Linked DNA regions of Schizosaccharomyces pombe. The protein of the gene in region 1 interacts with the protein of each later gene in a pairwise test. Each region holds a gene or a part of one and is shown in the gene's direction. Other genes may lie near its edges. The genes, in order: alp6 and alp4.

Evidence for each region.
Region 2: the proteins of alp6 (region 1) and alp4 interact in a two-hybrid assay, tested with the Schizosaccharomyces pombe proteins (3 studies listed by BioGRID).

What each region holds. Positions count from the first base shown.
Region 1 is NC_003423.3:480,138-485,828, reverse strand, and holds alp6 (gamma tubulin complex GCP3 subunit Alp6), read left to right. Parts: upstream 1-2,000; 5' UTR 2,001-2,122; coding exon 2,123-2,250; exon of another isoform or gene 2,251-2,289; coding exon 2,290-2,351; exon of another isoform or gene 2,352-2,391; coding exon 2,392-4,223; exon of another isoform or gene 4,224-4,276; coding exon 4,277-4,753; 3' UTR 4,754-4,881; downstream 4,882-5,691. Other genes in the region: Ctf18 RFC-like complex subunit Ctf18, read left to right, coding at 1-1,256, 1,337-1,467, 1,517-1,880; U3 snoRNP protein Utp15, read left to right, coding at 4,933-5,250, 5,460-5,691.
Region 2 is NC_003423.3:2,522,171-2,527,915, forward strand, and holds alp4 (gamma tubulin complex GCP2 subunit Alp4), read left to right. Parts: upstream 1-1,890; coding exon 1,891-4,245; 3' UTR 4,246-4,964; downstream 4,965-5,745. Other genes in the region: UDP-glucose 4-epimerase Uge1, read right to left, coding at 1-454, 623-685, 753-755. UniProt on the Schizosaccharomyces pombe protein: Component of the gamma tubule complex that is required for the regulation of both interphase microtubules and mitotic bipolar spindles.

The sequences.
Region 1 (5,691 bases):
GGATAAAAGCTTGGGATCCTTGTGTGTTTGGAAAATCTCGATTACAGCCCTCAAAGAGTATGCGTTTTAACCCCAGATTTACTAATATCACTTCTGATAGTGATAGACCTGATAAACGGATTATGATGCTGACTGGACTGGCAGGTGCAGGTAAAACGACTTTGGCTCATGTTATTGCTCATCAGGCTGGATACAAAGTTTTGGAAATAAATGCTAGTGATGATCGTACTGCTCATACGGTTCATGAAAAGGTATCCTCTGCCATTAGCAATCATTCAGCCTTGTCATCTCAACCTACATGTGTTATAGTTGATGAAATTGACGGAGGTGATCCTGCATTCGTACGAGCACTTTTGAGTTTATTAGAGAGTGACGAAAAAGCGACTGAGTATTCTCAAGCTGGTAATTCAAAGAAAAAGAAAAAGTTTAAGAAACTTTGTCGTCCCATTATTTGCATTTGTAATGACTTATATACTCCAGCACTTCGACCTCTGCGACCATATGCTCAAATAATATATTTTCGACCACCTCCTCAAGCATCTCTTGTCGGTCGTTTAAGGACTATTTGCCGAAATGAAAATATAGCTGTTGACAGCCGCTCTTTGACTTTGCTGACAGATATCTATAATTCTGACATTCGAAGCTGTATCAACAGTTTACAACTTTTGTCTTTAAATAACAAACGTATAGATTCTGAGACCATAAAGCTTTTGCAACCAAAAAGTAATTCTTTTAGTACTTCTAGTTTAATCCAATCTCTTTTTTTACAACTTGATAATAAACAAATACGTGCAATTGAAGCATCGCAACCTACTTACTCACATTTGGACGCCCTCCTTGCAAGGATTGATGGAGCTAATGATTCTGAATCAGTCTTGATGAATTGTTTTCATACATACTTAGATCTTCCTTTTACTGATAGCTTACTTTCTAAACCTGCTTTGACAAGCGAGTGGCTTTACTTTTTCGACCAACTTCATTCACAATGTTATAAGGGAAATTATGAGTTATGGAGGTACATACCTTATTCCATTATTCATTTTCATTATTTGTATGCAACTCCTGAAAAGTGCCGCCTTCCGCATCCTCCCAGAAGTGATTTGGAAGCTTTAAAACTTTATCGTACTCGCAAAGAAATATTGGATTCATTCATATCGACGCTAAATGCTTATGAAAATCAAATGCATGGAGAAAGATCAATTCTTTTGGAACTTATCCGTACAATTTTAATTACCATAAATCCTACACTAAAACAGGTAAGGTCTATATATTTTAAAAAAAAAAAAAAAAAAAATTGCGTGAAACAATATTTTTTTAATTTACTAACTTTTTATAGAAAGAAGATTCTATGCCAAGGAGCGCTTTACCTTCTAAAATTGAGCATGCGATTAACATTTTAAATCATTATAATTTGCGTTTCCAACAGCTTCCCGTTGGAGATGGCAACTATGTGTATAGGCTTGAGCCGTAAGTTCCAATATTTTTATTTCTTTCTAGTAATAGCTAACGTTGACAGACCTTTGGATGAATTGGTTTGGGACGCACCTACAAGTTCATATTCTGTTCGTCAAATGCTATCTCAGGAACTGCTCAAGAAAAGGCTCGCAGACATTAAAAAACAAACCCTAACGGACAACCCCACTTCTTCGAATTCTTCAAGAAAGCGCAAAGATTTTAATTCCGGAAAAGCAATTAAGAGAGATTTTTTTGGCCGTATCATTTCTGAACCAAAATCTGAAGCAGTTACATCGAATAATGCAGCTTTGAATACAGGAGATCATCCAGTTTCCATCAAGCATGCAATCAATATCAAATTTCACGATGGGTTTTCCAATGCTGTGAGAAAACCAATATCGTTGAACGAGATTCTGAATTTCTAATCTAATGTGCATTAATATTTTTAATTTCAATCTTTTTGAAATAAAATCAATCATTTAATTTAAAAAAAAATCACTAGTAAAAATAGGTGTATGCGTAAATTCATCTAACCATTATTTCCTGACCGCGACTTCGGCGTGTACTTTGTCAATGGCTTTAAGATTTTGAGTTAACGATCAATACTTGTATTTCTCTATTTTAATTCAAAAATAAAAAAAATACTTTCGTCATTTGAAGTTCTCAAATGTCGGAGATTCATGTGAAAACTGCATTATCACGTCTGGCGGACAAGTATTTACAGAACTCCAAAAACCCTTCTGTCCCTTACACAATTGAAACGATCGTGTCTTTCTTTCAGGAAATAATTCACTCGTAAGCTAATTTCGTGTAAATGATCATGCTAACTGTTAGCATTTCTCCTGATACTTTTCAACTGGACATTGATGACATTCTGTACAAAATATATTCAAAAAGTATGTGAAGGTCTAAATACCAAAATTAACAGTTTTTTAGTTCCCCCCGAAGAAAACAATGATGCTTTATTTTCTAAATTATCTAACTTAGTTTCGCGTTTGAAAAGTCAAACGGTCATTCACAACAAATCTCAAATACTCTATTTCTTATACTTGCTCTCTCCTATTTCTCAGTCATCAAGAGATGTCTCCTCTCATTTATTAGATGAGTCTATTTCCAATCCTATCAATATTCCATCAACAGAAGTGGAATCCTCAAACTTTGGTCAGACACGTTACGATCAAGTTCCTGAAAACCCCCAAATTACTGATTGGGATGAAGGATTGGAAAATGAAAGTTCTATCTCAATTGCTCATGATTCATCTAGGCTAAACCGTAGTACTGAAACTTCTTCTGTTCAACATACTTTGATTACAGAAGCCGATTTGTTGTCTTCAATATCTTACGTACTTCAAGGAATTTCTACCGAATATGTTCAGTTTAAAAATGAATTAGCGCTGTTGTCTAAGAGAATACCTGTCCAATACCTTTTACAGATGCGAGCTCTTTCAGAGACAGGCTTATTATATCAGGAACTAAAGGTTTTCAGCAATTATGATCCTTCGGTCAGTCAATCCATTGATGGTGATAACGTTAGTAAAGCATTTATAAACGATCAGTCTTTAGCTTTACAAAGTTTAAAATCGGTCATTTCTAAAGAGCTGACTAATTTCCTTGCGTTAATTGCATCTCTGGATTCACAAATTCGAGCAGACGCTTCACTTGAGAAGCCTATGGTAACTATCCGGCGTTGCATTGCCTGGACGCAAGTTGCCAAGCTAAAACTTAGAATTTTGTCTTCAGTTGTTAATGATAATATGAACCAGGAGAATAAAAAAAGATTGATTCAAGTGGTTTCGAAATACAATGTGCATGGAGATCCGCTAATACAAGAATTGAGTGATAAAATACTAACAGAAATTACTGGACCTTTATACGAAATGATTGAAAACTGGATTTATAAAGGAGAATTGGTCGACCCTTATCAAGAATTTTTTGTTAAAGAAAAAAATGGTAGTGAAAGCCATGATCATCAAGGGCAAGGTGATGTCGTCTGGAAAGGTAAATATTTTTTAGACAAAGAGTTAATACCAAGTTTCCTTTCTGAAGAACTTGTCGACAAAATCTTTTTGATTGGAAAGAGTTTAAACTTCGCACGTTATGGATGTGGTGATTTTGACTGGGCACAAGAGCATTACCAGAAGCTAGTGAAAAAACTTAGTTATAGAGACCCTCATTCATTAGAAACAGTGGTTGATAAGGCGTATACTGAGTCCATTAATCACTTAGTATACTTGATGGAAGAGGTGTTTCATTTGACTGATCATTTAAAGGCTATCAAAAAATACCTTTTACTAGGACAAGGTGATTTTGTGGACTTATTAATGGAGAGCCTTGGTAATTCTTTGGATCAGCCGGCTAATACTTTGTTCAGACACAATTTGACTGCTTCTTTAGAAAGCGCCATTCGTTCAAGTAATGCATCTTATGAACCTGAATACGTATTAAAAAGATTGGATGCTAGGCTTCTGGAGCTTTCACATGGTGAAACTGGTTGGGATGTTTTTACGTTGGAGTATAAAGTTGATTCACCTATCAACGTAATAATAACACCATATTGCTCTAGACAATACTTAAAAATATTTAACTTTTTATGGAGGTTGAAACGAATTGAGTTTGCCCTTGCCCATTCCTGGAGGCGAGTAAATTTGGGCGAGCGAAATGTCTTCAGAAATCTGGATTACACAAAATTCGAATGGCATTTTGTCAGTTGTCATCTTGCGGAAATGATTCATTTTGTTTGTCAACTTCAATATTATATACTCTTTGAGGTAACGAAAAACCAAAACCCAATTTTGCATTGTATACTAACCATTGGAAACAGGTTATCGAAATTAGTTGGCAAGAATTACAGCTTGCTATGGAGAAACCAAACGCTACATTGGATACGTATATAGAGGCACATGAAAAATATGTTACTAGTATAACTCATAAGGGCTTGTTGGGTGGTGGTAAGTCAAGGAATGAAGATTCCTTCCTTCATCAGCTTCATGATATACTTAAAGTTATCTTAAACTTTCATGATGCAATTGAGTTGTTGTATAACTTTTCTTGCTCCCTGTCGAATAGAATTCGCATTAATGTACCAATTTCGACTGATGCTTTGGCAGCTCAATACACCCCTATAAAAAATGAACTCTCAAATTTTACTGAGGAATTCCAGGTTCGACTTCAAAAATTATTACATGGATTAGCTTCCCATAAGGACCCAGAAATGCGCTTTCTTTCCGTTCGTCTCAATTATAACGAATTCTACGTTTCTCATAGACGGCGTCATGATAAGGATGTTACCAGTCAATAAATGAGGTTCATGCATGATTATTTAAACTTTTATTACTCGTAGTAAACTATAAATTTAGTTATTAATATTTAATGTGATTTAACTATCGTTCAGCGGTGCTGTTTAATTTGCCTTTGCCAACCACCAACACCACCCACCCATTTGGTTAACTTTTTTCAGCAACCACATATACGGATATCATGTCCGCGCCTGCTGGTAGACTTCAACCTCAGCGTTTTGCTGCTTTACCTAATCCCGTTACTGCTGAAAATAAATTTTGGCGGTCATTCAAGGTTCCTGTCGTTGCCAAGGAATATAGTGCTATCACTAGTATTCATTTTTCCGCTGAATCCCCTTATGACTTTGCAGTAACTAGTGGGGCTCGTGTACAAATTTATGGAGCTAGTTCAAGGTCTGTTAAAAAAACAATTGCTCGATTTAAGGATACCGCATATTCTGGTAACATTAGAAAGGATGGAAAACTTTTGCTTGCAGGAGATGCTACAGGACTTGTACAGGTAAGTCTACATTACCAAAAGCTTTGAAAGATAGTTGCAATTAAAACGTTGATAAGCTGCACATGGAATTTTGTTAGTTTAGTTTAGCTGATTGAAGCTGTCATTTGCTAGTATATAGCTAAAAAAATACCATTTTTCCGGTGTTTGTCAACGCTTTAAACTTACTTTAGAGGTTTTCTTGTTGCCATTGATTGCTAATGTACTTTCAGATATTTGATTTGTCAACTCGGAGTATTTTGCGTGCTTTAGACGCTCATCAGTTTCCAGTTCATGTTACACAATTTTGTCCTTATGCCAATACCACGTTTCTCTCTGGATCCGATGACAAAACTGTAAAGGTCTGGGACTTGTCAACTGGTGCCGTTCAGTATGATCTTTCTGGACATGAAGATTATGTTCGTACTGCTTCATGGATGAGTGCTACTAGACTTGTGAGTGGTG
Region 2 (5,745 bases), 2.0 Mb from region 1:
TGGTCTCATCCTCAATGATATTTTCAATGAAAAGCTTTGTGCGACCATATGGGCTTGTACCTTCACGAGGGCATGACTCTGGAATAGGAATGGTACCACCAGGTCTAGTAGGATCGCCATACACGGTAGCAGATGAAGAAAAGACGAAGTCACGTACATTATACTTCTTCATGCACTCTATTAAATTAATGGTACCGGAAATGTTATTTTTGTAATAACTCAAAGGAACCTGTACAGATTCACCAACTGCTTTGAGACCAGCAAAATGAATGACAGCAGATATGTTTTGATTTGCGAAGACCTTGTCCAAAGCTGGCTCATCAAGCAAATCCACCTGGTGGAATATGACTTTTTTCCCAGTGAGTTTTTCAATGCGGTGCACGGCTTCAACGCGAGAATTGCATAAATTATCGACAATTACAACATCATATCCTTTTTCTAACAAAACAACGCACTATTGCAGATTGTGGTTAGCAAAATATCTCAAAAAAGAGCTTTATAGAATATGGACGAAATTGTATAAAAGTAAAGAGCAGCAAGCTATATTCACAAAAGATGCGTGCTTAAAACATTTACATGTACATTACTAATCCTCTTCTGTATCTTCAAGCTCTCTACGTACCGTATGAGAACCTATATAACCAGCGCCGCCAGTAACCAACACAGTCCCTTCATGAACACCAGTCTATGAATCATAATTAGTATTTTCATACAAAAGAATGCTTTTGATTAATTAAAAAAGTTATTCATACCATTTTACACGTTATAATTTGATATTAAAGGGGTGGGCTCAAGACTGTAGCTATTATGCTCTTTCTTTGTTGGATATTCAGTTTCCTACATGCTCAAGGTATCAATGCAGGTCGTTACCTCCTGTAACCTGACATGATGTAAAACGAGCAAAAGCCACAATGAAGCTTAAGCTAAAAGTGAAAAGTGCTTGTATATCTCGCTAAACCATTTTATTGATATATCGCTAAAAAATTCCTAATCATAATATTATATAGTAACAAAGAGGTCGTCGGAATAAGTGTATAGCAGATGAATGCCTGTGATTAGGTGTATGGATTTTTCATGTTCATAAAGCATTGAGGTAGTAATTTAATGTATGTGCATTTACCAATAAATTTTTTTTTTGTATTTATTTTTTTAAAAGATGAACTCGAGATTTTACAACCAATATACACTTTGATAGATGTAATGTTTGTGATTTCACCACCAGCTTCATGCGACTACAAAATCCTTGCTTCCCTAGAAAAGCATTTTATCTGTAAATAAATCATTGATGCTTATATGTATTTTTGAAAAAATTTATTTTGTTAAAGAAATAACAAGTAAATGTATAATTAACATAAAACCGAGCTAAATTTATTGCTTTTATTATGCAAATATTACCTACTGGCTAGTAAATAAAGCGAAGTAGTCTGCATTAGAATAAAAAATTTAAACACAACAAAAAAAAAAAAAAAAAAAAAAAAAAAAAGATGAAGGGAATAAATCCCTCAAGCTTAGGATCTAAAATTTTTATCCATTCAAAATAAACTCTAGCATATAGAATTTGTCACTGTCTACTGCTATCCATATATACTCGAATGAGTATTTGGGGTCCTTTGAGTTTACGGTAGTCTTACAATAGAAAATGCTGCAGTCTTCTAGTTATGTATTTTTTGACTAATTTTTTTTATACTTTTTTGCATTTTTTAATGCTACACGGACCTGAGTTGGTTTGCTTTGAAATTGCGTTGATTGTTAGCTGGCGCATACTTACCAACCTACATCTTAAAACTGGCCTGCTGGTAAACAAGCATATCCGAATAATAATTACAAAGAGCACTAAATATTAAATAAATGTTCACACTTTTGTAGATTATATAAAAAAAGACTCTTTAAATGGTGAGATCGATTAGTTCGGTGCTTGCTAAAGAAGAAAGCGAGAATGGGAGTCCAATTCCAGCTCTCGAGGAAGGGAGCGTTTATCATGTCTCTTTGAAGAGTGAAGGTGTTTCTCCATTTTCTGATAGGATTCAATTAAATTATCTTTACGATGGGAAGACTTTTAGCGATCCTTCGAACTTAAATATCCATCAGCAGGAAGCATGTCTCATAAACGAACTCTTAAATGCATTTATGGGCATGGAGGGTGTATTTGTACATCTCCAAGACATGAAAGCATCCTCTGAGTTTGAAACCATTATTATGCCGCCATCGTTTTATATTCTTCCTGGATTTGATTTAGGTATAAAGGATATTGCTTCTGAGATGTTAGAGATGGGGTCTCATTATTTAAGTATCACAGCTTTTATAGAATCGAGAAGCCATTTTGAATACGGATTTGTTAACCACGCATTGTGCGCTGCTTTGCGAAAGTTTGTGATGGACTACGTGGTACTTATCATGCAGTGTGAAAATCAGAGCCGAATTGATCCAAATTTTTCTCTTCAAACTCTTCGCCTTTATACTCTTCCCACATCGCGTTCATTACGACAAGTGTATTTAATTCTACGTGACCTGCTTTTGTCTATGGAAAAGAATGCTTCCAGCAGCGATGATTTAGGTCTTAGTAACATCGACGATCTTTTAGAGCAACTTAATGAAGGAAATGACATTTCACATGTTGTTAATGCCACTAGGTCTAAGAAAAAGGTTTGTAAAGGTGGGCAAGTCATTTCTTTTTTGACCGAAAGTCTTACGAAATATGCGGGTGATCCTGTGGCACGAAAAATCCTAACCTATTTATTGCGCGAAGCTTCACGCCCTTATACAAAAATGTTGAATGAGTGGATCCATCTCGGGCTCGTAAATGACCCATATGATGAATTTATGATAAAAATACACAAAGGAATCACATCTATGCAACTTGATGAAGACTACACAGATGAATATTGGGAAAAACGATACGTGATTCGAGAGGATCAAGTTCCTCCACAATTGCTTGATTTACAAAACAAGGTACTCTTTGCAGGCAAGTATTTGAACGTCGTTTTAGAGTGTAGGAAGGGAGTTAATAACCTGGCTTCGTTAAATGCAAAAGACGATACTCAAAACCAGTTGCTCTGGCCTTCAACCTTCGATGATGATAACTTTACTTTAAATATCATGAATGCCTATGTTTATGCAAATGAATCTCTCTTGCAATTACTCCAGTCTTCACAGTCTCTTTACGCTCATCTGTACTCGCTCAAACATTATTTTTTCCTTGATCAATCTGACTTTTTTACAACATTTCTTGACAATGCTCAACACGAGCTACGAAAACCTGCAAAGTATATATCTATCACGAAGTTGCAGTCGCAATTAGATTTAGCCCTTCGTCAGCCTGGTACGATAACTGCGACTGATCCACATAAAGAATACGTGACTGTAGAAGTGAATCAAACATCATTAATAGACTGGCTCATGCATATTGTAAGTATCAGTGGTTTGGAAGAAGGAACATCATCTCAGGGAAACGAAGTTTGGAATGAATCAATCACGAAGCAAGCGGATGTGGGCAATGAAACTCGAAATTTTGAGAGTGAACACAATCGGAGCACACAGGGGACTTCAAAAGTTGGTAGCGATAAAGATATTAATGGATTTGAAACGATGCAACTATGCTATAAAGTTCCATTTCCCCTTTCACTTATTTTATCCCGCAAAGCTATTATTCGATATCAACTTTTGTTCAGATATTTTCTTTTACTTCGTCACGTTGAAATGCAACTTGAGAATAGTTGGGTGCAGCACAGCAAGAATAGTGCTTGGCGTCTCAATTCCTCCAATGCGAAAATCGAACAATGGAAAAGGAACAGCTGGTTATTAAGGACACGAATGCTTAGTTTTGTTCAAAAAATAATCTACTATACTACAAGTGAGGTGATTGAAACACATTGGGGGAAATTTATGGGAGAACTTGAGAACGCCCGAACTGTGGATAATTTAATGCAGGAGCATATCGATTTTTTGGATACGTGTCTAAAAGAATGCATGCTTACTAACTCGCGATTACTTAAAGTACAATCTAAATTACTTAATACTTGTGCTATGTTTGCCTCTTATACTTCCACGTTTACCCGATCCTTATATTTGCTTGAGAATTCCGAAGAAAGCTTTGATGAAGGAAGAATGGATAAGATGGAAGAAATTTTACGCCGGTACGAAGACAGTTTTAGTCGTCATTTAAAATCCTTAGTGAATGCTTGTAACTACTTTGCAAGTACTGAGACGGCGGCTCTTTTAAGTTTAGTAATGAAATTGACGGGATAACTAAGAAGAGACAAGATAAAACAAGGCAAGGTAGAAAAACTACAAATGGAACAACGTTACTATTGTTTTATTGAGATATGAAGAAACATCTGACAAACAGCAATGGAAATTGGGAGAAAAACTTTTATGGATATTTATATAGTCGGTTTTTGGATAACCTTATCTTTGACATCTTGTTGCTTGTACTCGTTAATAAAGAAATGACTTGGAGTGAGGATCTTGCGGAATGGCCAATTATCTTCATAAACAAGCATTGCTTATCCGCAGTATACATTGGTCCATTTTCAGTAGTTTGGACTTTTTTTTGGCCAGTTGTCACACTAAAAGCGTACTGCACTATTCGGTTAAAAATTGACAAAAAGACGACTGCCATTGGCCATGAATTTAAGAATGATTATGGAGAAAGGCATGGCGAGCGTTTAATATGCCAACACTTGTGTTATATAAAAAATAATCGATTTTTTAAAATGTCTGAAACAGGGTTTGCTGATAATGCCTGAGGAATGGTAACTTGGATTTTTGATCGCTAATTTTTTATTAGCTATGTCGCTAAATTTAAGGCAAGTCGGCAGTATGCCGCGTGATTGAGGAAGAACGAAGAGAGAGGCTAAGCATTTGTTCCTAGTCTAAAGAGCTATCGATTGATTTTGAAGTGATACAATGTATGCTAACGTTTGTACCATAGACAGCTATAGTAATGAACTTTGTTATGTGAAGAAGTACAGTTGCTACGACAGTAATGATGATGATGTATGTATATAAAAACCAAACCAAGGTTTAATTTAGGTGGTTATAGTATTGTATACGCAAAACTATTCATTTGTGTGCACTCGTAATGAATTTCTAGTAATTGTATTTTGCAGTTAAAAGTTTAATGGATGCGTAAACAAAGGAACAGGTAAGCTAGTAAAGCGCATACAAAAATTGTAATATCGAAGGAAAACGTCAATTTAGATTAGTGTAGGATGGTTATTACGAAAGGATAGAGTTACTATGAAAAGTGAGTACAGATTGTATGATTAAGTATGGGGGCGATAGCTGGGTGTGAGGCAAAGGAATCATATGACTTTAGAATTATCGCATCAAGGAGTAAGAAAAACGAAAACTTATCTCACAGTGGATTGCCCAAAATTATCAATCCCCCACCATGTAAGAGGAAACAAGAGAAACAGAGAGAGGGAGAAAGAAATAATTAGAAACTAGCAAATATACTTTACAGATTACAAATGGACACGATAAGTAAGTTAAGATGAAATAAAGGGGAAGATAACAAGGAACGGAATATAAAAGAGCATTTCGAACCGAATGAAACATTTTAAGCCGAATGTATTGAAATCGAAATATTTGAATTGAGAGATTTTTATTTTATCTGACTAATGATGAGAAAGGATAGAAGAGAACAAATAGAATAGAAATAGAACTAAAGATAAAAAATATGAGAACCAAAATAGCAAAACAAAAAAAGCTAAATACTAGGTAATTAATAAAAAAAAATTTAAA